Caenorhabditis elegans: one gene and its partner. The protein of the gene in region 1 interacts with the protein of each later gene in a pairwise test. Each region holds a gene or a part of one and is shown on either strand. Other genes may lie near its edges. The genes, in order: K08E7.5 and ttm-1.

Region 1 (16,455 bases):
CCTGAGCCTGAAGTAGACGGCGAGTCTACAAAAAAACTGCCGTTCCTGCATCGGATCCCTAAATATTTTTCACTTTCTGAAGTCCCTGACCTTTAAAATTTCTGCAATAGTTTCAACACATCTGCTATCCCCCTCCAAAACTTCATCTTCTTCTTCTCAATTTTTTGTCGGCCAACTCCATGTAAGTATTGCTAATAAGATATCGAAAAGTAGTCGTCGTTGAGAAAAGAAAAGAGGAAAAAAAAGGGACACACTTTCCCATTTCTCCCTCGCCCAGCTCTCCAACATCTCCGTGCTCTCTCAGGACGCCCGCGCCCTAGAAGACGTCGTGAGCTCCCCGTACAAGTCTAGATGAAAGATTATAGGAATTGTTGGAGAGTCTAGAGAAGTAGAGAGCCCATGAGCATCTGCGTGTGCATTCCCTTTCTGCCGTGCCTCCCCTGCCTCTTGTGGAGATTCAACGATTTTTCTTTATCAAGTTTTCGAGCATGAAACGAACGCATTTTTCCAGTCATTAGATTAGATCGGCTCTATCTTGTAATTTCCAAAGAATCTGCTATGGCTATGGAACAAGGAACAAGTGTGTATAAATGAAACATACTTTTAAAATGTAGAAAAGTTAAAACACATTACATGTTTTGGCAGCGATTCTAAAAATAATTTGTCAGAAGCTTAAGTCGTATTTGTGTCAGAAGCTTAAGTCGTATTTGTGTCAGAAGCTTAAGTCAGTATTTGTGTCAGAAGCTTAAGTCGTATTGGACTAAGTCATATTTTTAGATTTGTGAAAATACCAAAATACCTCAAGGTCCTTCAAAGCCTTCTCATGAACATTGGCATTGATTGCGAGCAAATATTTCTCCAGTTCGAGGCGTCGGCTCTCAAGTGTGCAAGTTGTTTTCACGGTGTTCGGTGTCTGGAGATGCAGATATTTCACGACGCCTTGACCTGGTGAAATATCTAACGCCAATAGTTTTTAGGTGATCAAAATGCGTGACATAAAATCAGGACATGAAAATTGACGCACTAAAATTATAGATTAACTTGCGAGGGTGTAATTATATTCCTAGTAAACAAAAATGTTGGAAAAAATCTAAAGAAAGAAATTTTGAAAAATTTTAAGTTGGTCTATTGATCAAGAGAAATTAAGGTCAACATTTGACAAAGCGTCTTTGCCAGCAGCCTTACGTGAAAGTTGTTTTCACACAGAGTTGTAAGACCTTTTGATATTTTAGGTGGATCCAATTTTGAAAAAAATGCGCCTTTAAAGGAACATTTTCGAAATTGTGCAGCCACGTGGCAGTACTCGTAATTCTACAAAATCCCGCTGCACAAACCCCAAAAATAGTTGTCCAGACCGAGAAAAAAGAGATTTTAGAGAAGCAGGGAGCCCATGCCATCTGCGTCGAATTCCATTCTCTCTTCGCCTTGCACACATTCATGCTTTTCCACCCGCCAGAGTCCGTATATTTCCTTCCCGGGGACACAAGAGAGGGAGAAAGAGAGAGAGAGAGACATCTGCTGGCTGTTTGGGGGCTGTGTCTATGTTTATACTAGTCATCATCACTTCTTGTCTCCTGTGCCCCCCAAATGCCTCTCATTCCCGTCAAGCTTTTGCCTCCCCCTTCACGTAATTCTCAATTTTATAGAGGACTCGAATTTCTTGTATTGCATTAATTTTATTATTACAAACTTTCCCATTGGAGAAAAACTGTGGTCAGCAAAAAAAATGAACAAAATCTAGGTGGTTATAATGATATTCAGGCATGTTCCTGTTCAGGCGTTTGTTCCTGTTTCATGCCTAGCCGTTTATTTTCGGCATTTTGGCATAACAACTTAAAATTTAAAACAAACTGTCAAATTGTTTTTATTCGTCGTAGATCTATGTATTTCAAATAAATTTTAAAAATTCAAAAATATGATTTTTTGGTAAAACTTTTTTTTTCTGAAAAGTATTGTTTGATCGAAAGTTACAAAAAACAAAAATTGTTTTTTTTTCAATTTTAACTTTACGAAGAAAAAAAAACTCTGCATAATCGAATTAGTCCTAGTCATTTCCAGAGCCACACTTTCCACATCACTAACTTTTCAAAATCGGAGAAAAGATTGATGAATCTTTTTTCAACTATGTGAATGTAAAGCTTGAAACAAAATTTAACCATATAAGACTAAAGTTCAGAAAAAATTTGAATGTTAAACATTGTACAAAGAGCGGATCACCTACCGCTTCTCGCCCGGTGTGCCTTCAAAAAAAGAGCAACAAAGAATTTAACAACCGTTACTGATTATATGAATACTAGAAAATGATTTTTTGTTTCAAACACACAAAATTGAGTGATTTTGATGTTTAAAAAGTTACACGACTAGGAACTTGTTCAGAACCCAGTTGTGTGTTCAGTATTCAGTAATTCAGTCGTTTTCGTGCTCCAAAACACATAAAATGTTTCGTTTGTGAAGCACGGTAAATTTGCCGAGTAAATTTTGAGATTCGCCGCACACCGCTGTTCTCAACACTCTTCATTCATTACTTCCTACTCTACACCATGTCTCCTACTGCAAAACGAATGCTTCCAGGTGAAACTAACCCACTATGTCATCACGAATGTCTCGAAAAACGCTAGTCGACACTCCGATCACTCCACAATCATCCATCGGTCACATACTACGAGCACAGTTTGCGCTGCAAAATCAGCTTCCCGAAGATAAACCGAAGACTATCGGGTTTAATGGTAGGAATCAATTTTAATCTTCGATAGAATAAAGAAATAGCTTTTGCGATAAATTTTCAATTAAAAAAACTAAATTTCAGAAGCCGAAAATATGAAGCTATACGAACTATACTCTGGAAGACGTGAAGAATACCACTCAACACGACCATCAGGGCAAAGGAATGAGGAAGTTCCGATGGTAGGTAGACATTCTAGGCTCGAAAAAACTTTTTTCAAAGTTTTAAGGATACCTTGGCAAGAGAATGGGCCACTGAAATAACGTCGATGGGATTTGCAGAACGGACGCCTGCACAGATTAAGCAACGGATTAGGGATATGAGGTATGGGTCAAGTAAAAATTTATTTTCCTTTTTTCCATTTTTCAAAGCAGCTCAATATCATTCGTTTAATTTCAGAAAATTCTCTCGAAAGCATGCCCACAAACTGGGTATCACCAACATGAATGCGGGACAAGAACTCGAACGTTATGCTGAATTTAGTTGGGCCGAGCCAAAACGACGTTCCCGTGGGCCAGTACCCGATTGGATGTCCGGCCTGGCGGAAATCATGATGAGCGAACAGGACACAAAAGCCGACGATGCAGACTCGGCGTCGGACATCATGGAAGCCACTTATGGTCCGAAAGCGAAGAGGCTGAAATTACAAAGGACTGAAATGCAATTGCATCAGTTACAGTTGCATTTGGATATGAAGCAGCGAGAGTTGAAACAAGAAAGAGAGAAAGAAGAAGGAAATGGTAATGATGAGCAGGAGGAACGAGAAAAAAGAGATGTTAGTCCGGAAACTTTGCTTATTGAGAAGAAGTTGAGGTTAGCGGATGCCAAGTTGCATACGGAGCATTTGAAGCAACAGGTGAGTATTCCGTAGAGCAAGAAAAAGTAAATCATGAATTTATAAGAGTTATTTATCTTCAAAGTTCTTGTTTCATAGTTATTGAAGTTTGAAAAAAAACACAATTACATTATGAAAAAAGTGAGCAAAATGTGTTGTCAATTTAAGTCTCAGCTTTCAAAGCTGAAGCAAAAATTTCTGATAATTTTGAAGAAAATTTTAATATTAAAACTATGTATTGTAATAGTGAATAAAACATACTAAAAAAATCGGCCAACTGCCGATTTGCCGGTAATTTTGATTTTCGGCATATTGCCGATTTTCCGTTTGCCGAACATCAATTTGTCGGAAGTTTTTGGAGGGACTTTTTATAAGACGGAAACACTTAAAACTGTGCCTTTTTGAAATTTTTTTCCCGATATTTCTAGATATTTTCATAGAATTTGCATACTTTTAAAATAGATGTTGGAACATAGAATGCGTACAATTTCGCACTTGGAAAAAATTGAAAAAATTGAAGTTCTGTAATTTCCAAAAGAAATGTACAAAGCCACAATATGCCGGAAAGTTTCGGCAAATCGGTAATTTGCTGGGTTGTCGATTTTCCAAAAGTTTTCAATTCCGGCAACTTGCCGATTTGCCAAAAGTTTTCAATGCAGGCAATATGCCGAGTTGCCAAAAGTTTTCAATTCCGGCAACTTGCCGATTTGCTAAAAGTTTTGCAATTCCGGCAACTTGCCGAGTTGCCAAAAGTTTTGCAATTCCGGCAACTTGTCGATTTGCCAAAAGTTTTCAATTCCGGCAACTTGTCGATTTGCCAAAAGTTTTCAATTCCGGCAACTTGTCGATTTGCCAGAAGTTTTCAATTCCGGAAATTTGCCGATTTGCCGGAAAAATCGTTTGCAGCCCACCCCTGTTTCAGATCACAATTGATATTAATTTCAGGCTCTCCGTCTGGAAATTGCCAGTTATCAACGCCAGCTCCAACTCTACGATGATCAACAACAACATCAATCTCTAGCGTCTGAAATAGCATCGTCGAGTAGTCCAAACGAATTTCTGAACATGAAAATTAATGGGTTTTTGAAAAGCCATAGTCCATAACTTTTTAGATTTTTTCTTATTTATATTTTTTTAAACAATCACTTGCGATCTCTAGTTGTCTTCCTTGAATAATTCCAATTTCACACACACAATCATTCCGGCCCATAATCCCATCAATTTCGGGTGACCCGGTTCCTTTTCTGTCCTTCTAATCTTACTACTTTTTTGTTAGATTTTCAAAAATGAACTATTGCAATTTATTGTATTAATAATATGTTTCAAAAACACTCTGAGAAATAAGCAGTCAATATGATGATTCTATGAGGTATGTACAACCCGTCGATGTGATCTTATCATCTGTGAGCTCTACATAAACGGCACCAGCGCTTCTTTCTTCTGGCGATATGGACATCTGAAATATAGGAAATGTTAGTTACACTACAGTCAATACTTAGATGTGCTCACCTTGAAAAGTCGCAACATGTGGAGTCACACTGCATCGGAGCTCTCTTGACGAGCTTCATGGTGACCGATCGCTTCTTACGGCCACATCCGCAGGGTTGCTGAAAAGTGTCAAGATTTGAGAGTTGGTTTTCGTATTACAATGTTGAGTTTCACCTGGCCAAGGCGTAACATGGGAACTCGGAACTTCGTATACATTTTGTCATAACTGATTTTCAAGTTATTCAAAAGTTATAATCTTATTGTTAGCTACTTATTTACATTGTACTTTCTAAATTTGAATTCCACCTAGCATTTAATTGGAGGCATTTTTCGAGTCAAGTTGGGGGAGGCGTGAATCTCATACCTGTGGTGCACACGGCGAACATCCTCCAAATAGACTCCTCTTGTAGCGATTGAACAAATGACCCATACTATTACATTGAGAACATCCCGATTGTGATAGGGTACTGCGTTTCTTACGACCCAGGCATGGAAGACATCCCTGTAAGAAAATTGATAATTGATTTTTTGTGAGCTCGCAGTACTCACCATTCTCTTCACTCTAATATGAGAATTCTCATCGGTATCTCGCTTCTTTCTTCCCAGACACGGCAGACATCCCATACGCTTGACACGTGGCGATCTGAGATTTGACGCTCCACATGTGCCACACGAATTTTGACTCTGAAAAGTGGAGTTTTAGTTCTATCCATTCACTCTGAAACGTCATACCATCGTCGAAAAACCGGAAGTGCATCCCGGAGCTGCACGTTTCTCTCGGTGATGCAACACAGATCTCCATGGCTCACCGGCAGAAGAGCACTGATGACAGTTCGAGTTAATTGAGTGACGCTTGAGACGACGTGATTTGTGCATTCTCCGTCGACATGGACACGATGGGCAGGCTCTACCACAGATTGGAATAGTCGGAAGTTTAAAGTTAATCGAGCAACAAGTTGGTGGAGGGAGACAGACTGGCGCTGGCTGACAGCAAATCTTCGGTTGCGGGCAGCAAGGTATTGGTGGACAACATGGAATTGTTGCTGAACAAAGATAGTTCTAAGAATGAATTGTACGGATTATTTATGTCACTTACGGAGACAGCAAGGAGCAGGTGGAGCACAACAGTTTTGAGGCTGTGGCTGGCACCCGCAGGATGGTTGCTGATAAGATTGTGGGTACTGTGGTTGGTATTGCTGGAAAGGTTGTTGGTAGATGGTTCTGGAAAAAAAGTGACATATTTCCATTTAAAACAAAGACTTACTGTTGTTGAGCGACTGGTTGTGGCTGAATATAGGCGTTCCCTCCAACGGTGTTCTGGAGAGGGACAAAGTTCTGCACTGGCTCGGATTCGACTGCAAAAAAAAGTTTCGACCACGGCAGGATTCGAACCTATTTTTGTGACCAACGGGGGAGTCTTGAGGAAACTTACGTACCTAACTGCCGTGATGGGTCGACTGCGTGTTGAACATGCAATGGGTCAGCCTAGAAATTATTAAGTTTAAAACAGTGCTGCTTTTTTTTAAACCTGTGTCTCAATATTTCTGCTCACAGACTGCTTCTCGTCACAACATGAGCAACATGTTGGCGACTTTCTTCCAAGCTTCTTCTGTAATGTTTAATTTTTATTATATTTCAAAAAAATCGGCTGAAATTTTAAAATAAAACCATAAAATCTTTTCCGGTTACAGCTGTAATTCCCTTCGATGATTCACTAGTAATTCGCTGTTCATACTCCACAGGTTCCCGCGCCGAGTTCTCGAAAGATTCTGAAATAATGTAAGATTCATATTTTTCTTCCAAAAATTTTTGGAATATCGATATTATTTACCAGCAATCCGATCAATTTCTGAAATTTGTGCTCTCACTTGAGTGTTCGTGGTAGTGATGGTGGAAGGATTTGTGCCGTGCTGTGTTCTGAAAAGTGTGTGCCTAATTGTATCTTGATTTTTCTCCAAAACTATTAAGTCTATAAAAAGTTATTAACTGACAAATTGTTCGCCAAACTTTTTTATACATTTTGTTAGTTGACAACTTTTTGATAGCTCTCGTAGTTTCCGAGATATATGCGTTTCGAGCAAGATTAAACATGATGCATCGAGGACTCGATTTCCCACAAAAAATCACCTCAAAGGCACAATTGCCACATCATTCGTCCCGTCATATCCTCCATCGTCCGGGTATTCTTCAAAATTTGAATTGGCACGTGGAATGTCAGATGGTGCAGTGATAGTGCCAAAGTGATCATATGGGTCTCGTGCGGAAATCGCATTGTTCGAGTTAGATGGTGAACCGGTGCTTGGTGACGTGGCATGTGACATATTCATCATTTTGCCCGCGTGATTATTGGCTCGTGCTCCGTAGTCTAAAACGTCCGGGATGTAGCTTGGCTCACTGCCAGGAGCATTGTCATGGTCAGACCAGGAACTGTCAGATGGATATGGTTTCGAATTGCTGGGCTCAATGCTACGTGGTATTTCGTATGGCTTGTCATCTGGTTTAGTCTTTTGTGACGCAGTACTAAGAGCTTTAGGCTCAGAATATCCAGATTCTGTTCCAGGACCCTCAAAGATACTTGGCCCATTGTTTCCCATCGGTTCGTACCCTTGTGACTCTGAAAACGTGTGTGCTCTGGGAATGTTTTGTGCGGCGTGACTGGGTGCTTCAGGTAGACCATTACCGGGACCAGAGGGGCCAATTAGTTCAGAATATCCAGGTGGACTATTAGACGTGCTCGGATTGGTGCCGGGTGCTTGCTTCGGTAAGAGCACAGAACTTTCTGATGATGGCTCTAAAAAGTCGGGTGATGTGGAGACATGGTGAGTGATTGTGCTTGACTCTTGTGGTGATGGTGCAGGTGGTGAATTGAGCGTGGAGTATTTTGTATATTGATGATCTGGTCCTTCCTTGAAACTCGGGACTTGACGTTCATATCCAATTGGCCCTGTTGGTGACGATGGTGCAAAGTAATCAATCTTAGAAGGAGTAATAGCGGTTCTTGAAATTGCATCAGATCCCTTTGGATTCTCTCGGTGTCTTATTGAAACATTTTGTGGACGTCCAGGCCCGCCGGATTCATATCCTGATTGGGAGGCTAACCGATCTGTTTGAGGGTTCTGAGAGTTAGACCGAGGTTCGGTGCCAGGTGCCTGCTTTGGTGTAAGCATAATATTTTCTGCATATGGTGATGGTTCTGAAAACTTGGGTGCTATGGTGATAATTGGTGTTTGTACGTGGTGAGTGGTAGTGCTGTGAAGACTTGGCTCCGGACCAGGTGCTCTGGCATTTTTCATGAGATGTGCTGCAGTTTGTTGAGGTGCTTGGAGTGAGTTAGGTGATTTTGTGCCACTAGCTTTTGTCCGAGTTGTCTCCTGCGGGCCATCTTCATAATCCCTTGGCCTTGGCTGTGTAAGTACATGTTGTGAATTAGATGTTAAGGGTGTTGAAAATGGAGGATCAGACCTTTCCTTCGAGCTTGATGCGTATTCAATTGACACTGCTGATGGTTTAGTGTAGTCCGTGATATTAGGAATTTGGGCTCTTGAGTTTGCTCCAGACACCGCTGGGTATCCAGATTCGTATTCTGGCTTCTGGGTGCTCGAGTTGTCTGAGTAAGGATTCTGAGAGCTATACCGAGCTTCAGACTTAGGTTCGGTCCCAGGAGCCTTTCCTCTGCTAGTAGAAGATCTTGATGTTTCAGTGCTGTTTGGTGCAAAAGTGTGCTGAGTGGTGGTGAGCGGTGCTGTGGGGTTACCTGCCATATTTGAACCACGTGAAGCTGAAGAGCTTGGCTTTGTACCTGGTACATCTGTGAGCTCTTTGTAGTCATTCGACGATGGAATAGAACCATCTTGCTCATACTGGTTTTCAGATGGCTCAGCGCTAGGAGCACTTCCCTCCGGATACCCGGAAGCATGATCATCTGACCATTTGGAACTTTTCTCAGATGATCCTTTGTTTGGTGCATCCTTCTTCTTTTGAATCAATTGGGTTAAAAGGTTTTGTGGTGCAGATGGATGCGGTGGAGGTGGATCATGCAGTTTGGGAGGGTCTGTGCAAAAGTTGGGATTATTAGTGGTAGAGTGCCGTGCTGGTTTTAAAGACAGTTTGATAATCTGGCTAACTTTGAATTTTGCGCTTATATGTCCACTTGTGCGCTATTTTGCGCTTATATGTCGATGACAATGGCCACTACATGTATTCAGAAGACCTATCTTTATTTGAACTCCAAAAGTTGAAAAAGGCAGTACACAAAATCTACAATGTGACATGTGACACTACTAGAAAATTGTTTTCAGATGTTAAATATTTAGAACGTTAGTTTTACATATTCTCTAGATACTCAATTATATTTTCCTATTCCAAATACCTTTCTTATCCTCCCCGGTGGCTGTGGCAGAACTTCCCCCGCCGTAAAGTAAATCCAAATTATCAGTGCTCTCCGATTGGTCGGATCCGGATTCCGGATCATTTTCTGGTGCTCTAGATGGCGCTGGTGGTGCAGTGGTGGTTGATATTATATTTGTGATAGTGACAGGTGTTTTGGTGGTTTTGTGCAGCTTTGATGGATCTGGAGTGAAGTTTTATAAAACACGTGTGTGTGAAACCACTATTTAGGTGTTCTGGTGCATAGGTGAGATATTTCTACGTGGCCACAAAACTCAACTTTCCACCAACCTTTAGTACTACTGCTCGGCGACACTTTTACTTTTTCTTCTTCTACGGGAGTAGTGGTAGGTTCTGGAGTGGGTGTTGTTGCAGGTTTCGACGTGGTTTTCTTGGGTCCAGATTCGGCTCCGGACGCTAAATAACCACTATTTCCTGGGTCTTCTGGAGATTCACGGTCTGTTGAGATGGACGCGATCGACTGGAACGCTGGCATTTTTCCGCTGCCTGCGGAGGGTGGGACTGAAAATTAGAAGGAAGTTATTGACAGGCTATTCTGATTTTGCTACATGACTGCCGAGAAATGATAATCTGGAAATGAAACGTAATATAAAGTGCAAGATAAACTCGGCCAACATTTACAGGGAAAAATTGATAATAATTTGGAAAATAAATTTCAAAAATTGCATATTTTTTCTAACGTACCCTTCTTTGGCTCCTTTTCATAATAAAAATCATATCCGGTCCATGTGCTTTCATATGGATTTTTGGGCACTTCCATATCATTACCAGCTCGTGTTTCTTCTTCTGGATAGGTCCCTGGCGCACTTGCAAACCCTAGAACATTGTGTCCTTCTAGTAATAGTACTAGAAGGACAACTAGATGTATCAAAAGCCTTCGCATATGGAATTGATCTAGAATATCTGTGTTTAGTTTTTATTGAAAAATTGAAAGTTGCAGACAGGATAGAAAGAAGGGTTTTGACTTTACAATTTCTAGGAGCAAACTATTTTTTAAGAAATTATATCAAAGTTTAATTGGTAGAATCCAGAACAATAGTGATATAGCCTTTCAGAATTTAGGAACAAACTAAAAATAAAAAAGGAAACAAATCAAAAACTAAAATGACGGACTGATATTAAAAACTCTAGTACCTAAATTGAAGACTTTGCCTTTTTATGCCCAAAATGACCAAAAACTACCGCGTTTAATGAAACGTTTTGAAAATTTCTCAAAAAAAAGTTAAAAAGTTAGTGGGACACAAAAATGTAACTTTTATTTAGACCCCACTGACCGAAAATGTACTTAAATAAACGAATAAACTTATAATAACAGATTTACACTAGTTTTCAAAATGTTCCAACGAAAATAAACAAAAAAAAACTTAAATGACACATAGAAGGGTCAAACCGAAAGCATGTCAAAAATCTCGAGAAAGAGAAATTTCCGAATCCACCGGTATTTCTTGATTTGTGAACTGGCTAATCGACAAGTTTCCCCTTCTTCTCTGGATCGGAAAAGGAAACCGACAGGCAAGAAGGAGAAGGAGAATGTTGAAAAAAGAAGAATCCATTATCATTTAGCCCTTCTATGAAACATGGCTAACGGGATAAGCAGTGATAATGGACTTTGATTATTTTCTGATTTATTGGAAATAATTGGGGTGTGGTCTGTGGAAAATGTGATCTCTTATGGAACGAATAACTCCGTTGGGATAGGAGTTGGAAAAATATTGTCAACTGACAAAATATTTTTGAGACAATTTTGATTATTTTGATAGTTGACAATATTTTTGTATCTCTTACAGGTACTGAGTTATTAAGGATTCAAAAATCAGCAAGTTTACAAATAGAAGTAGACATTTTACCAGGGGGAGTATACAAGAACGAAGTGAAAAACTGGACATGCAACTTTGAACCATTGTTTACTGTTTTTGAAAGTAATTTTTACCTAATTTTCCAAAAACAGAGTAAATTATGATTTTTTTTGCGATGTGGCCGGGAATAAATAACAACTCGGCCACCAACTTTTTCGCTTCAATTTTGAAAATTTTTGAAAATGTCAGAAATGTTAGATAAAACTATACTAGAAAAATATCTGCAAGCTTATTACGATGAGATATCTGAAAGACAGAAAAAAAACGTGTACAGACCGCCCATATCATCTCTCGGTCTTGTCCAGAAGATGGACGTCATGCAGATGTTGCATAACAATGAAATTTGACAGGGGAAAAATAATATAACGTAATCGACGTGCTTGATCTCTTAGAGAATCGGGTTTTTGTCTATATTTTTTTATTATCGTCTGCGCATATTATTTTTTATTTTCCCTTCGGATATATTTTTGAGGAAACTTTGGAAGAGAAGGGGGCAGCGAACCAGAGAATCTTAATTTAATAAGATGTGATCTTCTGGGAAAATAGGACTTTGCACCATCTAATAAAAATATATGCTGTATTTCCTCTATTAGTCTCTATTAGTCTTGCACCCCACGGACCAATTGAAAATTAGTCTTTCATTTTATTTAATGCGAAAAGGTTTGCGTCTCTAAAGAGTACTGTAATTTCAAACTCTCGTCGCTACCGCTGTGATTAAGAAATTGCCGGCCCAGGTGTTGCAAAAAAAATTGCCCACATTTGCCAAAATTTACAGGATGTTGAAAAATGCTTTCAGATGCTGCCAAATATTTCAGAAAAAATACTGAAAATTGCTGGAAGGCCGGTTCTTTCAGAATTTCAATTTTAATCGGCAAAATTGTACGCATCCTATGATTTTTCCTACGTCTATTTTGAAAAGTAAACAAGTTCTATGAAAATATCTAAAGAAAACGGGAAGAAATTTTCAAAAAGGCACAATTTTAAACGCTTCCATCTTATAAAAAGTCCCTCCAAAACTTCCGGCAAATCGGCAAACCGGCAATTCAATTTTTCCAATTTGCCAAACGGCAGTTGCCGCCCATCTCTGTCACAAAGTATATGTTAATGTAGAACCAAATTTCTAAACTTTAAACTCATTAAAAATGAAAAAAAAAACCAATTTGAAAACTATTAACGCGAACCGAAAATGTGTTTTGTGATAGAAAATTTGAAAAATTTCAACCTTCGAACTTTGAATTTCCGTGAACATTTCTTCCCCTTACAATTTCTCATATATAAAGCCTCCGAAAATCTACAAAATTCATATTTTCTCACTTTACAAGATTCAAAACCTCTCGGAAGCGAAAAAAGAATAATGATCTCGCAAGTGAGTTTTCTGTCAGGATTCTGATATTTTCCAAACCTCTCGCTTCCAGATCATTTTGCTATTAACTCTCAATATCTTGCCATTTGTGCTGGTCCATTGTGGGAGCAAGAAGAAAACAGTGGCTCCAAAACCGGTCGCTAAACTTATGGCAGCACCTGCTGGAGGAGTCGGAAAAAGCGACTCATTCGATTCGAAGAAACAAGACGTTCCATCGTCAAAGAAGGATGAACCAGTGGCTCCAAAGAAAGAAGATGTGAGTTATTTTTGGCATATTTTAAAAGACAAAACGAACGTTTTTAGGAGGGCAACTACGAGGAGCTCGCCATCCCACAATAGTCCTCAATGTATCCTAATAAATTTTTTGAAATTCCCCCTTTTCTGTGTTATTAAAGCATAGAAGAAAATAAATACATATAGATAAATCATCGTCAAAATTTATGGAACAAAACGAACATCGAGAATTTCAATTCAACCAGAATTGTAAAATAACATTTAGAAAAATGATGATAATGACACAAGAATTCGGTGAGCGGGGAGGAATGGAACAAAATAAATAATATATTGAATATATACATGGGGCGAAGATTTTTAGATTTATTTACGCAGCAATCTTGTGAACAATCCTTTCTTCGTTTTCTCACATGCCACTTCTCTTAGTGGTTTCTTAAAAACTGCCGGAGATGCTTGCGGTTTATCCGGAACTGGTGGTTGCCAATCATTTCGACTTCTGGTGATCTTTGCGTACCGAGGACCACTATATCTGTCCTTTTCTTCACATTCCAATCGTTTGACCTGTTCGATAAATTCAACAGGTACTGCAAAAAGAGATTGAAAGTTTGCGAGGAGGACAGCGGTTATCAGCATTCCTTGTTGCTTTCGGCATTTACTACAAACACCTGTCCAGAGTCCGATGATTGCCTGAAATCGAAAATTTAAAATTGATATTACGCAGACGCAAAAGTTCGCGACAAAAGTACGGTACCGGTCTCGAGGCGACAAATTTTTCTTTTGTCGAATGAAACGAATGAAGATTTCTGCAGAATTTTAATTGTTGAAATATAGGTGTTAATTTTGTAGTGCTAAATTGATAAATATTTTTTTTTATCAAATAACTAATTAAAATCCATAAAAATTCGGCAGAAATGAGAGTTTGAAATTACAGTACTCCTTGAGGGCGCACACATTTTCTTATCTAACAAAAAGTTGTCGTGTCGAGACCGGTTACAGTAGTTTTCTTGCAAAATTATCCCCTCCTTACCGCTTCCCGATTGTTGGAAGATCCGTTAGAAGGATCAGCGAGGTCGAAAACTGCATTCGTTTCGATCGATTGAATGAATGTAACAAATTTGTGAAGTTTCCGACGTCGTGAAGTTGGAAGCGAAAGAAGTACCAATTGAATTGCTTCGATCAACCATTGCTCTCGGATTTCGTAGGATTTTTCGTCTGAAATTATAATTTTAAGTAAAAATCGTGAAACTGTAATAAAAATAAAATTCTTTACCTTGTATTTCCAAATTCACTCTATTATCAAATGGTGATAACGCACGTCGTCGATACTTTGAAGCTCGAATTCCGCATGCTGGAAGATCACGGGAGAATCCATCGACCATCAATCCAGCCTCCTCAATACTAGACGCAGACGAAGAAATCATCACTTTCGACCATCGCCTTGCAGGCCCATTGTCAAGCATTGCCGCGAAGCTATCGATTTTGCAGAGGAGATTAACAATAAGAGAGCATTCATCGAATTGAAGAGGAGCATTCAAGTCTTCGAGACGATTGACTAGAGTTATGAAAATCCGATTGACGTTGTATTCCAACCCTGTGTCCATTTTTTTATGCGTGACGAAGGGATATCGAACAAGATAATCCATGAATTGAATAACAGTTTGGGGATAATCGGGCTGCAGTCCCTGACATCTCGATTTGACGATTCCATCAGCATGATCTATTTCAATCATGTTCCACTGAATATCGTATCCATCGACTTTAGATGCCCATTCACAGGGAAGAGTGCGATCGTAAATTTGTTCCAATCGTCCAAGCAGCTCTGTTTTCCAAAATGAGCATTCGTTGTTTGCCTGGACAGAGTCTGCAACTGGAACAACCGACGATCTTCTCATGATGGATTCGTACATTCTTCCACGCGATAACAATGCTGGATTTGATCCTGCGATGCTTGTCCGATGATTTTGATATCTGCTAGGAACTGCAGGCAACGGTCCTTGTGGATGCATAAAGACGACGTCTTTCGGGGCTTCTCGAATTGGCGGAGTGGTTACTTTCTGACTACGAAGAGCAGCTTCAGCTTTTTCTTGTTCCAAAACACAATGATTTCGATCAAGGGATGCTGAACGACGGGTTGGTTGATTGACTTTCGTGTGATTTCGTCTTGATTTGAAAAACGGTAACCAATCATAAACCTTCTCTTTCATCTCAGAAACTTCTCGTTTTTCAGTATATTCTTCTGTACAGATACTTTCAAGTGATCTGTTCAAAATCTTCGGAGTTCGTTGTTTCTTCGGGATTTCATCGTCTTTATGATCATCGAAACCGTGATTCTCAACGCCGCCTGAAGAATTATCGATGCCTGCTTTGTCAATGTTGCCATTAGATCGCGATAATCTTCGTGGGAGCCTTGCCTTTGGTGGCCGGTGCATTGTCGCGGCAGGAGAGGCAGGTTGAGCAACTCTGGAAATATATTTTATAGCACAGTTTAAAATGATTATTTGGCATACTTTGCACTTTTGCGAGCACCACTGAAAGACGCTGATCGACGTGATCGGGGCTTGGGATGCTTCAACTCATCCAAAGTCTTCATGAACAAATATATTCTCGATTCACTGAATGGCCTCCTTTGCTTGACTTTCTTCGGGAAGGCTTCTGAAATCACGTTCATGTCCATCATGAACTCCAGGAACTTCTGCATCTTGTCTCGTTCCGGAACATTGTTAGGGATGATTCGTGGCATTTCAATCATCAGAAAATCCACAGCTTCTTTCCCGCTGAAACTGTTTTCCGCAGTGGCCAATCCTCTTCTGTTCGTTTTGAGTGATAAGTTTGAACGAAAATGCCATAGAATTTCGTCGAACTGAAAATCAGAATAAAATTTCAAAAGACAAATGTGAAACATTTTAATACCAGATGCGTCGCCTTGAACTTCTCCGATGAGTAGTCGGCAGACATCACGGCAAGACGGCCTAAAACTTGAATTTTGATGGTTTATTGATAAATTTAAGAACTTCTTAAAAGAAAACGAGATTTCATCACGAAAAAAAGCAAGAATGAGGAAAAATTTCTGGAAACTTCCTAAAAATTGCTGAAACGAGTGAAGTTTTGGCGCCGAAGTTTTGTTTACGGACCAAACACACGAAAACACGACTTGTCACACAACTTATTAGCTACAGTAACCCATTCTGCTTTGAAAATTTCTCTTTTTAATTAAAAATTCCTCGATTCAGATGTTTTTTTTTTCTCAAAGTGTTTCTAATAATTATATTTTCCTCGAAATCCACACTATTTTACATAAAACAAATCATCTTATTCTGCTCTTTTCGCCGTTTACACCATCTGTCCTTCTCCAATGACTCCTTCTCTGCGTCTCTTTCACTCTCTCGCCGCCCTCTTTTTCTCTGTCGTCTCTCACTTCGACGTACTTTCTCTCGTGTTGTTGTTCCCGTACTTTTGTGTGTTCCACTGTTTGTGAGATGACGGCTAGTTGCCTGGTACTGGATTCTCACCAGTTTTAATTGATTTTTCATCAAATTTTCTTTAAAAACTG
Region 2 (15,304 bases), on another chromosome or scaffold:
GAAATTCGGCAATTTTTGAAATTTTTTCTCTGCCACTTTTTTCCTCTAAAACCTTAAATTTGCAGAGTCACTACTCCATCAAATCTGCCTCCGCTGTTCTTGGCATTGGCGCAGACTATTGCTTCAACATTCCAACCGATAAAAATGGAAAAATGATTCCAGAAGCTCTAGAAGCTAAGATTATCGAATGTAAAAAAGAGGGTCTGACCCCGTTCTTTGCCTGCTGCACAGCCGGCTCAACTGTCTACGGAGCATTTGATCCATTGGAGCGAGTCGCAAACATCTGTGAACGTCATAAGCTCTGGTTCCACGTGGATGCCGCTTGGGGTGGTGGAATGCTCCTGTCTCCCGAGCATCGGTACAAGCTGGCAGGAATTGAGAGAGCTAATTCAGTGACATGGAATCCACATAAGCTCATGGGAGCACTTCTCCAGTGCTCGGCATGCTTGTTCCGTCAGGATGGACTACTGTTCCAGTGTAATCAAATGTCGGCTGATTATCTATTCCAACAAGATAAACCGTACGATGTGAGCTTTGATACTGGAGATAAAGCCATTCAATGTGGACGGCACAATGATGTTTTCAAGCTTTGGTTGATGTGGAAGAGCAAGGGAATGGAGGGATATCGTCAGCAAATTAATAAGTTGATGGATTTGGCCAACTATTTTACCAGGAGAATTAAGGAAACTGAAGGATTTGAGTTGATTATTGAGAATGTGAGTTTCGGTGAGCAATTGCCGGTTTGCCAATTTGCCGGAAATATTCAATTCCGGCAATTTGCCGAGTAGCCTTTTGCCGGATATCAATTTGCCGGAAGTGTTTAGAGGACTTAAACCTGTGTCTTTTTGAAATTTTTTCCGTTTCTTTAGATATTCATAGGATGCGTACAATTTTGCCGATTGAAGTTGAAATTCTGAAATTTCCAAAAAAAAAAATGTGCAAAGCCACTATTTGCCGAAAATTTGGGCAATTGCCATTGTTCCGGCAAATTCGGAAAATGGGCAATTAGTCGGTTTGCCGATTTGCCGGAAATTTTCAATTCCGACAATTTGCCGGTTTGCCGATTTTCTGGCAAAAATCGTTTGCCGCCCACCCTTGGATCATAATATTTTGGTCAATTTTTCGTTTTTTTTTGTTAATTTTTCTAAACACTTTTTTCGATTTTGTGATTATCTCTGAAAAATCGAAAAAATATTAAAAAAAAAAAGGAAATTGAAACATCTAAACATTTTTTAAACTGCTTGAAAAATATCTAAAACACTTTAAATCGAAAAAAATCAAATTACATACCTTCGAGGCGAGTTATGCCTGTCTTGTAGGCAGGTAGGCACTGCTAGGCACCTACTAGGCAGGAATTTTGAAGCCTGCAGTATGATTACTTCTTTAATTTTTATGAAATTTATAAAATGTTTCACTGGGTTTAAAAAAAAATTAATTTCAAAGTTAATTTAATTAAAACAAAAAAAAACTTCAAATTTTTCAAATTTTCAGCCCGAATTCCTGAACATTTGTTTCTGGTACGTGCCTTCAAAGATTCGAAACTTGGAGCCTGCTGAAATGCGTGCTCGTTTGGAGAAAATTGCCCCAAAAATTAAAGCCGGCATGATGCAAAGAGGTACCACAATGGTTGGATATCAACCGGATAAGCAGCGACCAAATTTCTTCCGAATGATTATTTCGAATCAGGTATGGAACAGGCGTTTAATGTAATTTTTTGAAACAAATAATTTGGTAATTTGGCAAAAAATGAAATTTTTTATATTTTCTATTTTTTGACTGTAAAGAAAATATTTCAATTTCGAAAATCTTGTGGAGGCAACTTTTCAATAATTTTTTTCTCAAAATTTTCAGGCAATCACTCGCGAGGACCTCGACTTTCTCATCAAGGAAATTGTGGACATTGGAGAGTCTTTGGAATAATTTTTTCGCGCTGCTTCTGTACCTTTATATTATTTTGAGCTCCCCATATGCTTCTTAGATTTGAAAATGTTCAAGAAAACCTGAAACCCAAAAAGAAATGTATATTTTATGAAACAGTATTTAATTTATTTATTGCATTATTTCATATTATATAAAGATTGTAGTGAATACGACACTTTTTTATAGATTTTCTGAATTCTCTGTATATGAATTACCCATTTTCAACAAATTAAGACAATTTTTTATTTTTGTCCAATTTTTCAGCCTCTAATGACTGCCCTTTTTTAGGGCAAAAAAATAGTTTTTAAATGCAGAAAAAAATGCATAAAAGCCCTAAAAATTGAAAAAAAGGACAATTTTTTAGTATTTGTACACTAATTTTGAGTACTCTAACTACAAAATTAACCATTTTAGAAGAGTTTCAAAAGTGTGAATTTTTGTCAATAAATGCCAATTTTTGCCACTTTTTAATAGTTTTTGATGGGTTTAATCTAGATTTTTGTTGGATTAAACCTAAATTTTTTGAATTCTCCGTATATAAATTACCCGTTTTCAACAAATTCAGACAATTTTTTATTTTTGCCCATTTTTTTCAGCCATCTTATGACTGTCCTTTTTTTGGGCAACAAATAATTTTTCTGAAAATTTTCGAAACTCAAAATTGATCTCCGAACACTAAAAAAAATTGCCCTTTTTTTAGAATATAGTAGATTTGAATATTTTCAGAAAAATTATTTTTTTTGCTCAACAAAAAAAGGACAGTAAGATGGCTGAAAAAAATGGGAAATTCATTGTAAAAATTCACAATTTCCAAACTCTTCTAAAATTGTGAATTTCATAGTTAGAGGACTCAAAACTGATCTCGGAACACTAAAAATTGTCTTCTTTTAGAATATAGTAGCTTTGACCACTTTCAGGAAAATTATTTTTTTTGCCCAAAAAAAGGACAGATGGCTGAAAAATTGGACAAAAATAAAAAGTTGTCTAAATTTGTTAAAAACGGGTAATTCATATATGGAGAATTTAGAAAACTAGGTTTAACCCACAAAAAAACTATTAAAAAGTGGCAAAATTGGACAATTTTTGGCAAAAATTCACACTTTTGAAACTCTTCTAAAATATTTAATTTCGTAGTTAGAGAACTCAAAATTAGTGTACAACAACTAAAAAATTGTCCTTTTTTCAATTTCCAATGATTTTGTACGATTTCAGAAAAATTAATTTTTTTTTTCCAAAAGGAAAAAAGTACAGTCATTAGATGGCTGAAAATTGGACAAAAATAAAAAACTGTCTAAATTTGTTGAAAATGGGTAATTCATATATGCTGAATTCAGAAAAACAAGGTTTAACCCTTCAAAAACTATTAAAAAAGTGCAAAAAATGGGAAACTTATTGTAAAAAATCACAATTTTGAAGATTGATCTCCGAACACTAAAAAGTTGTGATTTTTCTGAAAACAGTGGTTTTAAACAGATTTAGAAAAAACAAAATTTTGACCAAAAAAATAATAATAAATGTAAAAAAAATCATTTTCAAATTTTTGATTTATGAAAATTAAAAATTTTGAACTTTAAAAAAAAAAAAAAAATCAGAAAAAGTGGGAAAAAATTTACTATTTATTTTGAAAATTCCGTAAACTTTTAAATGATATAATCGCCCCTTCCTCCCCTTCTCAAAAAAATTTATTTCTGTTTCAAAGAGAGTTCGGTGGCAAATCAAATAATAAAATAAAAGAAAATTCTCATCTTCTGCAAACAATGGCCGATGCATTTTTCGATCCAACTGCTCCCGTCGCGAATGATCAGAAAAAACCCGATGACGAGTACCACAATCTCGCCGCGATGCCCTACGACAATCTGAATCCAAATGCGCCGACAGTCGGAGGAACACCGCCACCGCCACCGCCAGATGCTCACGGAGCCGCCGGTGGGCTCGTATCGGATAAGAAGGTGGCAAGTGGTGATGTGGTTGGTGATGGGGTTCAGGAGTTGCCCGAGTCGGATCCTTCGTCCATTAAGCCGAGAGTCAATAAGGCGAAGATCAAAAAGTTGAAGAACAAGCTTGTGAGTTTTTACGTTATCGATTTTTAAAAATATTGATTTTCTATGAATTATCGATTTTTTCACAAAATATCGATTTTCTATAGATTATCGATTTTTTAAATACCGATTTTTTATAAAAGTTCGATTGTTCGCAAAATATAGATTTTTTATAGATTATCGATTTTTTTTACAAAATATTGTTTTTTATAAATTATCGATTTTTTTTATTAGTGATTTTCAATAAATTATCGATTTTTCAAACATTGATTTTCTATAGATTATCGATTTTTAAAATATTGATTTTTTTTACAAAATATCGATTTTCTATAGATTATCGATTTTTTTCTAAATATTGATTTTCTATAAACTATCGATTTTATTAAAATTATTGATTTTCCATAGATTATCGATATATACATTTTTAATTTATCGATTTTCTCCCCACTATTGTGCAAAATATTCCTCCCAAGAAATCTTCAAATATTTCCAGAAAAACGCGAAAATCGTCTACTGGACAATGCTCGGAATTTGGACGATTTGTCTGGTTTTATTCGTTCTCGTTTACTTCAGTATTTTCCCGCTTTAAATAAAACAGTTTGGGTGGAAAATGAATAAAGATATTGGATTTTTCGTTCGATTTTGTGTTGTTCTTCAAAATATAGATTTTCAATAAAAACTATTGATTTTTCAACAAAAAATAATATTGATTTTCTTTCAGTGTTCGATTTTTCAGGAATACAATTATCGATTTATTTTAAATTATTGATTTTTCATAGATTATCGATTATTTTTTAAATATTGAAAAAAAATGATCGATTTTCAAACATTGAGCCATAATGAATTTTTGATTTTTTAAATATTGATTTTTCATAGATTATCGATTTTTTTTTAAATATTGATTTTCTAAAATTATCAATTTTTAAAAATACTGGTTTTATAAGATTTATCAATTAAAAAACTGATTCGTAGCAAATTAACAATGTTTCAAAAATAGAGATTTTTTTATAAACAATCGATTTTTTAATTATTGATTTTCTATAAACTATCGATTTTTTGAAAATATCAATTTTCAAAAAAATGATCGATTTTTAGAATATTGATTTTTCGAATATTACTGACTTTCTATTAATTATCGATTTTTCAGAAATATTGATTTTGAATAAATTATTGATTTTTTAATATTTCGATTTTCTTTCAAAAATTTCAAAAAAAAAAAATTAAAGCCATTTATTATCGATTTGACAGGATTGGACAGTAAGGAAAAATATGAACATTAGTAGGCATCTCTGGATGTGCCAAATGAATACAACCCGTGTGAGTAGGTCAAAAAACTGACAGGAAAAGTCGAGAAAAGTAAACGTTTTGAAAAAAATGAAATTGATTGGAAAAAAAAAACGTAGAAGTTTGCCCGTATCGTAATAGATTAGAAGAACGATGGAGGACTGGAATCAAGCAGTTTCCTGTTGTTGACACGTGTCACAGGAATCGATTTTCTCGTCGAACGGCTCCACTTGGACAGTGGCGACGGCAACTCCGAATCGCCGGCGGATCAGGGAACGGGCTTCGGCAACATTTTCCATGGCGCGGTTAGGAGATTCTGGAATATTGGAAGAGTTAGAAAAATATATTTTTATTAAATATTAAAATTCAATATCATGAAAGGCAGCACTTTTCCCTTGCAGAACATTCCAGGAAATTTCCAGAAAACTTTGAATTTCCCGCCAAAATTGTTTCTCAAAAAATTTGAATTTCCCTTCAAAATTCTCATTTAAAAATTTGAATTTCCCACCAAAAATCATTGGAAAAAATTGAATTTTTTTGCCAATTTTTTTAGAGCACATCTGAATTTTTTTTCAAAAGTTTCATTTAAAAAATTTGAATTTCTCGCCAAAACTGTTATTGAAAATTTTGAATTTATCTTCAAAACTTCAATAGCACGTGGTGTCAGGCTGTCTCATTGCGGCTTGATCTACTACAAATGCGGGAATATTTTTACAGAAAAATTGTCAGCACGCTCTTAACCATGCGAAGTCAGATGAGATGTATGCGTCTCAACTCCCGCATTTTTTGAAGATCAAATCGAAATAAGACATTCTGACCCCACGTGCAACAGAGAGACAATTTGAATTTCCTGCCAAAAAATTTTTAAAGGAAAACTCGATTTCCCGGCAAATTTTTCGAAAGAAAATTGTTTGAATTCCCGCCAAAAATTTTATAGCCAAAGTTTGAATTTGCCGCCAAAACTAACAGTTTAAAATTTTGAATTTCCCGCCAAAATTCCTATAAAAAATGTTCGAATTTCCCGTTAAAAATTATTCTCAGAAGATTTAAATTTCCTCCAAAATCTTTATATCAAAACTTTGAATTTCCCGCCAAAAATTATTCAGAAAATTTAAATTTCATTCAAAGTTTTTCAGAGAAAATTTGAAATTTTTAAAATCCAATTTTTGCTCTAAATTGAATTTCCCTTCAAAATTTTCATTTAAAATTTTGAATTTCCGGCCAAAAATTGATTGAATAAATTTGCATTTATATCCACAATATATATTTAAATTATTTGAATTTCCCGGTAGAAACTTCAATGGAAAAATTTGAATTCCCCGCCAAAATTATTTTTTAAAAATTTGAAATTCCCGGCAAACATTTTTAAAAGTAAATTTGAATTCCCGCCAAAATAACTATTGAAAAATTTGAATTCCCGCCAAAATCTTTATTGAAAAATTTCAATTTTCCGCCAAAATTTTCTCAGTTTTACTCAAAACTCCAAAATGAGAAGCCACTCACCAAGTGCCAAATGCACCGAAAACGCAGTCTTATCCATTCCAATAGACCATAAATGCAAATCATGAACACCTTTTACACCTTCCAACGCACTCAACGCCTTCTTCACATCACTCAAGTCATAGTGGCTCGGTGTGGCTTCCATCAAAACGAAAAAGATGTCCCGCATAACTGTAACCGTCGTGAAGAGCACGATAATCGAGAAAAGGAATGTGCAAATCGGATCGGCAAGTGTCCATCCGGTAAACCTAATGATAAGGGCAGCAATCAGGACTCCAATGGATTGCACCAAATCTCCAATGACATGAATCAGAGCAGCTCTAACATTCACATTCTTTCCATCATGAGCATGTCCATGACTTGAGTGTCCTCCATGAGTGTGCCCATGACCTCCAGTTCCGAAGTGCAACACCAATCCCATAACGATATTAAAAAGGACTCCGACGCCCGCGGTGATGAGCATCACATCAGCATCCACCTCATGCTCATTGTTCACAATTCGCTGAATAGCGACGACGACGAGCACTGTCGTGAGCACCCAGAGAATGATCACAGACGTCAGAGCACCAAGAACTTCGGCTCGCTCGTAACCGAATGAAAGACGCTTCGATGCGGGAAGACGTGCACAACGAATCGCAAAAATTGAGATGATGAATGAGAGAAGATCACTGAGCATGTGTCCGGCGTCTGTCATAATTGCTAGCGATTGAGCCCAGAATCCACCGACGAACTCGGCGGCGATGAAGACTGCGGATAGTGCTGCAACTGCCCATAGCACTTTTTCTGCTCGGCGACCCTGGAAACGAGAAATATTAGTTGGAAAATCCAAACAAAAAATTTTATGTCCATTTTTTTTTTGGCGAAAAAATGTTTTTTTTTAAAGTTATACACTGTGTTTTTAAAAAAATTACTACTAAAATTGTGCGGTAACACTGAATTCTGAGAATGCATGTGGTGCCAGGCTGTCTGTCCCATTACGGTTTGATCTACAAAAAATGCGGGAATATTTTGCCCAAAAAATGTGACGTCAGCACGAACTCTGCGTCTCTTCTCCCGCATTTTTTGTAGATCTACGTAGATAAAGCCGAAATGAGACATTCTGACATCACGTGAGACTGCGTATTGCACAACATATCTGACGCGCAAAATATCTCGTAGTAATTCAGTAATTCAATAAATTACTACTTTAGCGCAGTTTTTCTTTGCTTTTTCGTATTATCTTTGTTTTCATTCTTTGCTTAATTTTGATATTATATCGATAAATCTATGAACATAGAGCCGCGTAAATCGACACTACAGTAGTCATTCAAAGAATTACTGTAGTTTTCGCGTCGAAATATTTTGCGCGTCAAATAATGTTTTGATTTTTTCAGAAAAATATTCAAATGTATAAATTCTTGTCATATTTTTTGCGTTTTTTTTTCGCATTTTTGTCAAAAAAACGTCCCGCTAACTGAAAAATGCCTTGATTTTTATATATTTCAAATAAAATTGCAATTTTTCAAGAACATTTTCAGGGAAACTAATTTAAATTTGGAAAAAAAATCAGTTATTGAAATTTTCGACACTTTTCCAATATTTTTCAACATTTTAGGATGAAATATTCAATTCACAGGAAGTCGTCGTATTGCTAGATATTTGTGGGCGGCAAACGATTTTTTCCGGCAAATCGCCAAATTGCCGGAATTGAAAATTTTTGGCAAATCGGCAAATCGACAAATTGCCGGAATTGAAATTTCCGGCAAATCGACAAATTGCCGGAATTGAAAATTTCCGGCAAATCGACAAATTGCCGAAATTGAACATTTCTGGCAAATCGACAAATTGCCGGCAAATCGGCAAATCGACAAATTGCCGGAATTGAAAATTGCCGGCAAATCGGCGAATTGCCGGAATTGGAAATTTCCGACAAATCGTCAAATTACCGGAATTGAAAATTTCCGGCAAATCGGCAAATTGCCGGAGTTGAAAATTTCCTCTGATATGTATAATTGCGAGCTCGTGTTTTGGCTTGATTTTAAAAAAAACACATTTTTATGCTAAAATGGTCGATTTTGGGCTTTTTACATAGATAGCAATAATTAAAATTAAAAGCAACATTTTTTGAAAAATTTAGTTTTAATATAATGGTCATTTTAATAGAGGTAAAAGTTGAGCCATGTTGCAAAAAAATTTGCTATGTACCTTTTGATATTTCTCATCATGACTATGCTTATGCGCTCCTCCTCCTGCTCCACTACAATCCGAAGAGGAATCATCATTATTGTGTGTGTGTGAGTGCCCATGACCCCCATGAGAGTGCCCATGCCCATGACCGTGATGATGGTGGTCAATAGAGTCGGCAGATACTCCAGAATCCGAAGAGGACACCGACTGGGTGTCCTCTTCGATGTTGGCGGGCAGGTTGGATGAGGAAGAGTCACGTTTGTCACTGGATAGGCGGATTGATGACGGAGATATCATTGAGATTGTCATAGTTCTAGAGATTTCAAAAAATATATTTAACGGGAATTAAGAGAAATGAGTACGGCACGTGTATGTGTGTCAGGCTGTCCCATCAAGGTTTGATCTACCAAAAATTCCCGCAATTTTTGTAGATTTTCGTAGATCAAAACGACGTGGGACACTCTGACAAGAGCAGCGAAATTTCAAAATGAAAAACTTAGTTACTTAGTTCCGCGATTTTTTTTGTTGTCCCCTTTCAAAGAACAACACAAAGACTGGGGAGCGGTGGAATGCGTTTTGACAAACAAATAAACAAGACAAAAATGGGGTGAAAAAAGAGAATAAGGAACACAATAAACAGGAGAATAGGAAAAGGAAATGGAGAACAAAATTGAATATGGGAAAACGTTCTGGCTGATAGGAAAAAAAGGAAAAAAATTGAGTGGGAAGGAAGGTCGCAAGATTTTTTTATGCAAATTTTTAAAAATCAAAGATCTTTCGAGTCATGCAGGAATTTGTTTTTTTTTTGGATATGAAGCTCCAAGAGCTCCGCGAGCCAGCTTACTTTTGGACGTATTTCAATAGAAATACATTTTTTTCTAAAATTAGATTCTTATGAAAAAGTTAGTACTTTGAATTGAAAAATTCGAAGGTTTTCAGTGCATTTTTTAAAGTTTCAAAGCCAGTGAAATTTCGTGAATATTTTCAAAATCTGTATTTTTTTGGATTTTTTTCCAAAAAATTTTTTTTTAATTTTCAGTTATTTTTCAAAAAATACCGACTTAAATGCCAGATTTTTTTTCTTCAAATTTCATCGTTTAATTCAAAAAAAATCCGGCAATTTTTAGATTAAAAAGAATAGAAAAAAAAATATTTTTTGCCTTAAAAAAGTTTAGAAAATTTTCAAAAAATCGAAAAATTTTATATTTTATTTTTCAAAAATACAATTTCTGAAAAAAACCTCAAGTGGTTCTTAAATTAGGTAAACATTTAATTTTAAGCTTCTACAACTTTTATGAAAAAAATTTTGACATAAAATTTTCAAAAAAAAATCAGTTTTAACAAGATAAAAAGAAATTAGCTTGAAAACTCCGCTTTGCACAAATTTTTAAGTTTTTTGGAAAAAAATTCCAGGAAAAAGTTATATGAAAAACCAAAAAATTCATGCCAAAAGTTCAAAAAAGCAAAAAAGCAAACAAATTCTTACAAAAAATTGGAAACTTTTCAACAGAAAAAAAAACTTCAAAAAAAATTCTTATTGCTTTCTGCAAAGCAATAAGAATTGCAAGACTGAAAATGTGAGGCATTCAAAAAAAATTCACAAGCGCATAATAAGAAACACGAGGAGAGAGATTATAGATAGTCAATGAAGGAAAAGCAGAAGAAGAACCAGATTGTATTTCCTGCCATCAAGCATCTATCTATCTAGCAAAAACGAGAGACTTGCAAGTGAAAAGTGAAGGAAAAAAAAAACGATTTTGATCTACCTCCCTGTAAACGAGGCGAAAGTGTAAAAATTATTGTTAAGCTACTGGGAATTTAATTAATTTTAATTTACAGACTTTGGCAGACTTCTAGAAAATAAAAAGGTGAAACAAAACTTTGGTCAAGATCGTTTGATGTGCCGTTTATGTAGGCGAGAGATGGACATAAGACTGCCTCTAAATGGTCTTCTGAATTCAAAAAGACACAAATTCTATGTCTTGAACTTCAAAAAATAAGTTGAGAAAATGTAAAGATCAAGTATTTTGTGTTTTCATCCATCAAAAATCCTTCAAAAATCTCAGAAAAAAGTTGTTGAAAATTTGAATTTTTTGGGGTCGAATTTCCGGTATTCTCTACTTTTTGGCTACATTATTATTTTTTCGACAAACTCCCAGAAAAGTTGTGGAAACTAGGGAGGAACTACAAAAAAAAAGGTACAAATTTTCAGGGCTTGAATTGAACTTTTTCAAACTAGTTGGGGAAAGAAGGAGTCAACAAAATAATTAGTGATTTTTTAGAACTCATCAGAATTTTTACAAAAACATTTTACTTAGGCTTAAGATGAGGCTAATGCTTAGGCTTAGGCGTAGGCCTAGGCTTAGGCTTAAGCTTCAAATTAATTTGTGTTCAAAAATTGTGATCTACAAGATTCTTAGGAAAAAAATAAGAATCCTTTAAAAAAATCATCTTCTGATCGCTTGATCTCTGATTTTAATACAATTTATATATAAAAAAAATATTATTAGATGCCCTTTAAAAGGCTCATGTGATAACATAAGTAGCAACAATATCACGTGGAAAAATATTAGGTAATTTAAAAATATTTTCTAGAGAACTGAAGAAAGCAATAAAAGTGCAGAAAATGTGAAACGGAAATTGTTTCGAAAAAAGACAAAAAAAGAAAGAAAAAAAGGAGGCCGAGATGATTTACACACCTCCCACACATATGAGAAACTAGTTTTTTTTTGTTGGAAAAATGATAGAGTTGAGACAAAAAAAAAGAGAGATCAAGTAAAGTGAAAAGGACGTAATGTGAACCGAACTCTTTATCAGTATAGGTGTCTTAAAAAAGTGTCAGCATTTTCGTGATTAAATGTCGGGGCTTTTTCATAAAATTTATATACATGTCGACGGAGGAGGAGGAGGAGTGAAAGTGTGATAAGGGGGAGACGTCATTCTAGTTTGTGATACAGTTTCGTGAAATGTATTCCGGAGAAGTACTGCAATTAGAAATGACCTTATTAGGAGTGTGCGGCAATTGTGGCGAATTTGCCGCAAACACCTCAAATTGGATTTTAAAAAATTGACCGAAACTATTGATTTTGTTCAAAAAATTATAGTAAAAAAACATAAAATTGAGGTATTCAAAAATTAAACTTGTGCTAAGAATTTAGTAATTTTGGAGCTCCTAGAAATATCATTAAAACTTTTTAAAATTTTTTTTTGGAGTTTGCCGAGCTGGGCAAATTTTGACTCCTTATGATGGCTCAAAGAGCTTCAAAATTTAAAAATCTTGCCAAGGTCAGCGAGTTCACTCACAAAACTTATAGGATTAGTGAAAGGTTACTGTAAGAGCGCTTAGTAACGTAACCTGTGCAAAAAGATCTACTTTTAGCCACAGCGACCATGTCGTATTTTCTATATTAGTCTCGCACTTAAAGGTGCTTTAGTCAATTTTTTAAAAATTGCTTTATTAGACTCTATATTGTTTGAAAACACGAAATTTCATAATTAAACTTCTTTAAAACTTCTCAAAAAAAAGGTTATGGCGGCTCAAAAAATGACTTAAAATAGGTTAAAATTTGAAATTTGACAGACTTGTCAAGCGGCTGGAAACTATTTTTTTTTGAAATCACCGTCTAATTTTAGGTATGGAAATCAATTATTTTTCTTTTTCAACTCAACTTGAGTACAATTAAGGTCGAAGGATCACCAGATTTGGTAACTTGCGACATAGACAAGTTGGTCAAATTTCAAAATTCAACTAATTTGAGGTCATTTTTTGAGCCGCCATAACTTTTTTTAAAACTTTTTTCAGCATTTTTCAAAAAGTTTCATTATCAAATTCGGTGTTTTCTGACAATTTTGAGTCTAATAAACTTTACTGATATCTCAACCAATTAAAACTTTTTACTAAACAAAAATTAATAATAAAAACTTGGCAATTTTTGATCATTCCTAGGACCGCCAAGATGAATTTATGGGTTGCACTACTATTCGAGGAAGTATGGTATACTATCGACTACTGTAGTTTCGAGAGCATCAGGAACCTTCTCTTACAGAAAATATTTGATAATTCCTAGAACCGCCAAGATATGAGCTACGGGTAAAATACGGTATATTATCAGTTGCTGTAAGGTCACGTGTCGCCTGTTCCGGTGAGAACATCAAGTTCAAATGCACAACGAGTAAGTTATTAAAACAAACAAATAGAAAAAAACACATGTCACTTGAACTTCTGACTCAGCATGATTTCATCAAAAATCGTTCATGTATTCCGCTTTTCATAAGTTTCTTATCAGTAAATGTCAATTGAAGGAAAATAGAAAAATGAAAAATGTGAGGGTCAAAGATGGGGGAAAATTGAAAGGACTGTTTATAGGGCGCCAACTATATTTATAGTACTGGCGGGAATTTTGTAGGGCATATTTCTGAAATTTTGAAATTTTAAATTCTAGAAATCGTCATCACATGGAAGCTATGTAGTGGACGACGCCTTCAGAATTCTTTCAATTTTTCTCATAATTATTAAAAACGACGAAGAGACATAGACAACACCGGACATATCAGAAGGCGTTGATATGTGACAGTAGCCATCAAACATAATGTATCAAGTGGACATGGAGAAGGACCGGAATTTGGCAATTTTTGTGTGGTGATATTTTTGAAGATTCAAAGAGAAAAATTTTAAGATACAGAAACCGACGAAACTTATGAAATTTCGGGAATAAAATAGATTTGAGCCTAAATCTTAGCCTAAGCCTAAGCCTAATTGTAAGCCTAAGCCTTAACCTACGCCTGAGCCTAAGCCTAAGCCTAAGCCTAAGCCTAAGATCATTTAAACATTTTTCCGTTCCTCATGATCTTATGATGAAAGTGTGAGAAATGTGAGTTAGCAAGGAAAAATGATCGAAACATCACGTTTCTATCTCGTTTCCAAAAATGTTCAACCAATCAGTTGAAAGTTGAAATCAGAAACTACAATTGATAAAATGGAAAGTTAAAACTACGGAAAAAAATCAAGCAGGCAATCTAAAATTTCCGTAAAAATATATTACGAGAACACAAAATTCTGGGAATGCGTATTGCGCAAAATATCTCGAAGCGAAAACTACAGTAACTCTTTAAATGACTACTGTAGCGTCGATTAACGGGATCGGGTTTTGCAATGAATTTCTTTTTTTTTTTAATTTTTATATTTTATCGACAAATCAAAAATCGAGTCCGTAAATCGACACCAGAGCCCAGATACATTCAGTGTAGTCTCAGTCGACCGATGCTAACAATTTTTGTTCCGATGGTTCAATGACATCATCACTGTTCTTGCCCTTCAAAGATTGAAAAGTTTGTACGGAGAATGGCCAAGAATCGGTTTTGATTGGATGTATCTATAGTAAATAACGTAAGAATTAGAAAAAAAAATATAGAAGAGGTCAAAAATCTACCTCCAGAGACCAAAATACAAAAAATTCTTAAATTAGAATTTGGGGCTGTCCAGTAATTATTTGAAAAGAGTAGCTTGAAGAAAAATCTGGCACAAGATTCTGGTCTCATAGCGAAATAAATCGGGTTATTGTAGTTTTAATGAACTCTTGGAAGCTACGAAAAAGAATCAGAATTAGCTGAAATCACGGAGTCTTCTGTTCCATTTTATACCACGTTTCCTGGGAGCAAACACCACCAAATTCGTGGCACTTTTCTACAAAAAAAAAATCGTAGCGAAATATCAGCATAATGTTGAAAACATAATGTAGAAACTAGCAACTAGAAAATCGTGCGGGAAATGAAGAATTTTTTGACTGAAACTGAGAGAGATAAGGATTGTGATTGTTTTTCTGGAAAAATGATTTAGTTTCATAGATTGAACATCATTTTTCGATTGCTTTTTTTTGATATCGTTTTATTTATAGGCAGGCACGCCTTGGCACGATTGCCTTAGTTTCGCCTACCGCCTATTTCCCAATATAGTATGCTCAGCCTTCAATCTATAGGCACGTTTGTATCCAGGCATAGGTCGCCTTGAAGGCAGGTATGCCTACGTGTGTGCCTTGGTTTTTTGTGCCTACGTGTGCCATGAAAATAGGCAAATAAGCAGGCAGGTATGTTTCATGTACTTTCAAGTCAGGCAGGCTTTTCATGCGAAAGTGTGCCTAGATGCCAGGCACGCAAGCATTCTTGTGCCTACCTGTCTTTTTGTGCCTTGAAGTCAGGCAAGCAAGTATTATTGCGCCTACATACCCCGCCTTTCATGCCTAGGTGTGCCTTAAAGCCTATAATATTGCCTAGGTACATTGCCTTCTGTGCCTACATTTACCGTGATATCAGGCAGGCAGGTAAATGTCTGCCTACACGTCGAGCCTTTCAAGCCTACATGTGCCTTGAAGCCTATAATATTGCCTAGGTACCCTGCC

Evidence for each region.
Region 2: the proteins of K08E7.5 (region 1) and ttm-1 interact in a two-hybrid assay, tested with the Caenorhabditis elegans proteins (one large-scale study listed by BioGRID).

What each region holds. Positions count from the first base shown.
Region 1 is NC_003282.8:12,567,261-12,583,715, reverse strand, and holds K08E7.5 (Prion-like-(Q/N-rich)-domain-bearing protein), read right to left. Parts: upstream 10,349-16,455; 5' UTR 10,336-10,348; coding exon 10,137-10,335; intron 9,954-10,136; coding exon 9,723-9,953; intron 9,616-9,722; coding exon 9,415-9,615; intron 9,097-9,414; coding exon 7,173-9,096; intron 6,963-7,172; coding exon 6,877-6,962; intron 6,815-6,876; coding exon 6,714-6,814; intron 6,655-6,713; coding exon 6,574-6,654; intron 6,531-6,573; coding exon 6,482-6,530; intron 6,401-6,481; coding exon 6,310-6,400; intron 6,267-6,309; coding exon 6,142-6,266; intron 6,089-6,141; coding exon 5,778-6,088; intron 5,730-5,777; coding exon 5,595-5,729; intron 5,548-5,594; coding exon 5,410-5,547; intron 5,165-5,409; coding exon 5,067-5,164; intron 5,014-5,066; coding exon 4,968-5,013; 3' UTR 4,846-4,967; downstream 1-4,845. Other genes in the region: K08E7.6 (Myb_DNA-bind_5 domain-containing protein), read left to right, coding at 2,588-2,726, 2,807-2,904, 2,952-3,046, 3,122-3,578, 4,503-4,661; K08E7.4 (uncharacterized protein), read left to right, coding at 12,663-12,674, 12,724-12,927, 12,975-13,010; Protein let-99, read right to left, coding at 13,269-13,592, 13,933-14,117, 14,176-15,365, 15,413-15,765, 15,816-15,860.
Region 2 is NC_003281.10:12,947,795-12,963,098, forward strand, and holds ttm-1 (Zinc transporter ttm-1), read right to left. Parts: upstream 9,378-15,304; 5' UTR 9,219-9,377; coding exon 8,928-9,218; intron 7,540-8,927; coding exon 6,747-7,539; intron 5,560-6,746; coding exon 5,411-5,559; 3' UTR 5,175-5,410; downstream 1-5,174. Other genes in the region: unc-25 (Glutamate decarboxylase 1), read left to right, coding at 66-716, 1,492-1,686, 1,852-1,920; Y39E4A.1 (uncharacterized protein), read left to right, coding at 3,678-3,983, 4,453-4,548. UniProt on the Caenorhabditis elegans protein: Promotes excretion of zinc from intestinal cells into the intestinal lumen in response to increased dietary zinc. Involved in cadmium resistance, possibly by promoting its transport from cells.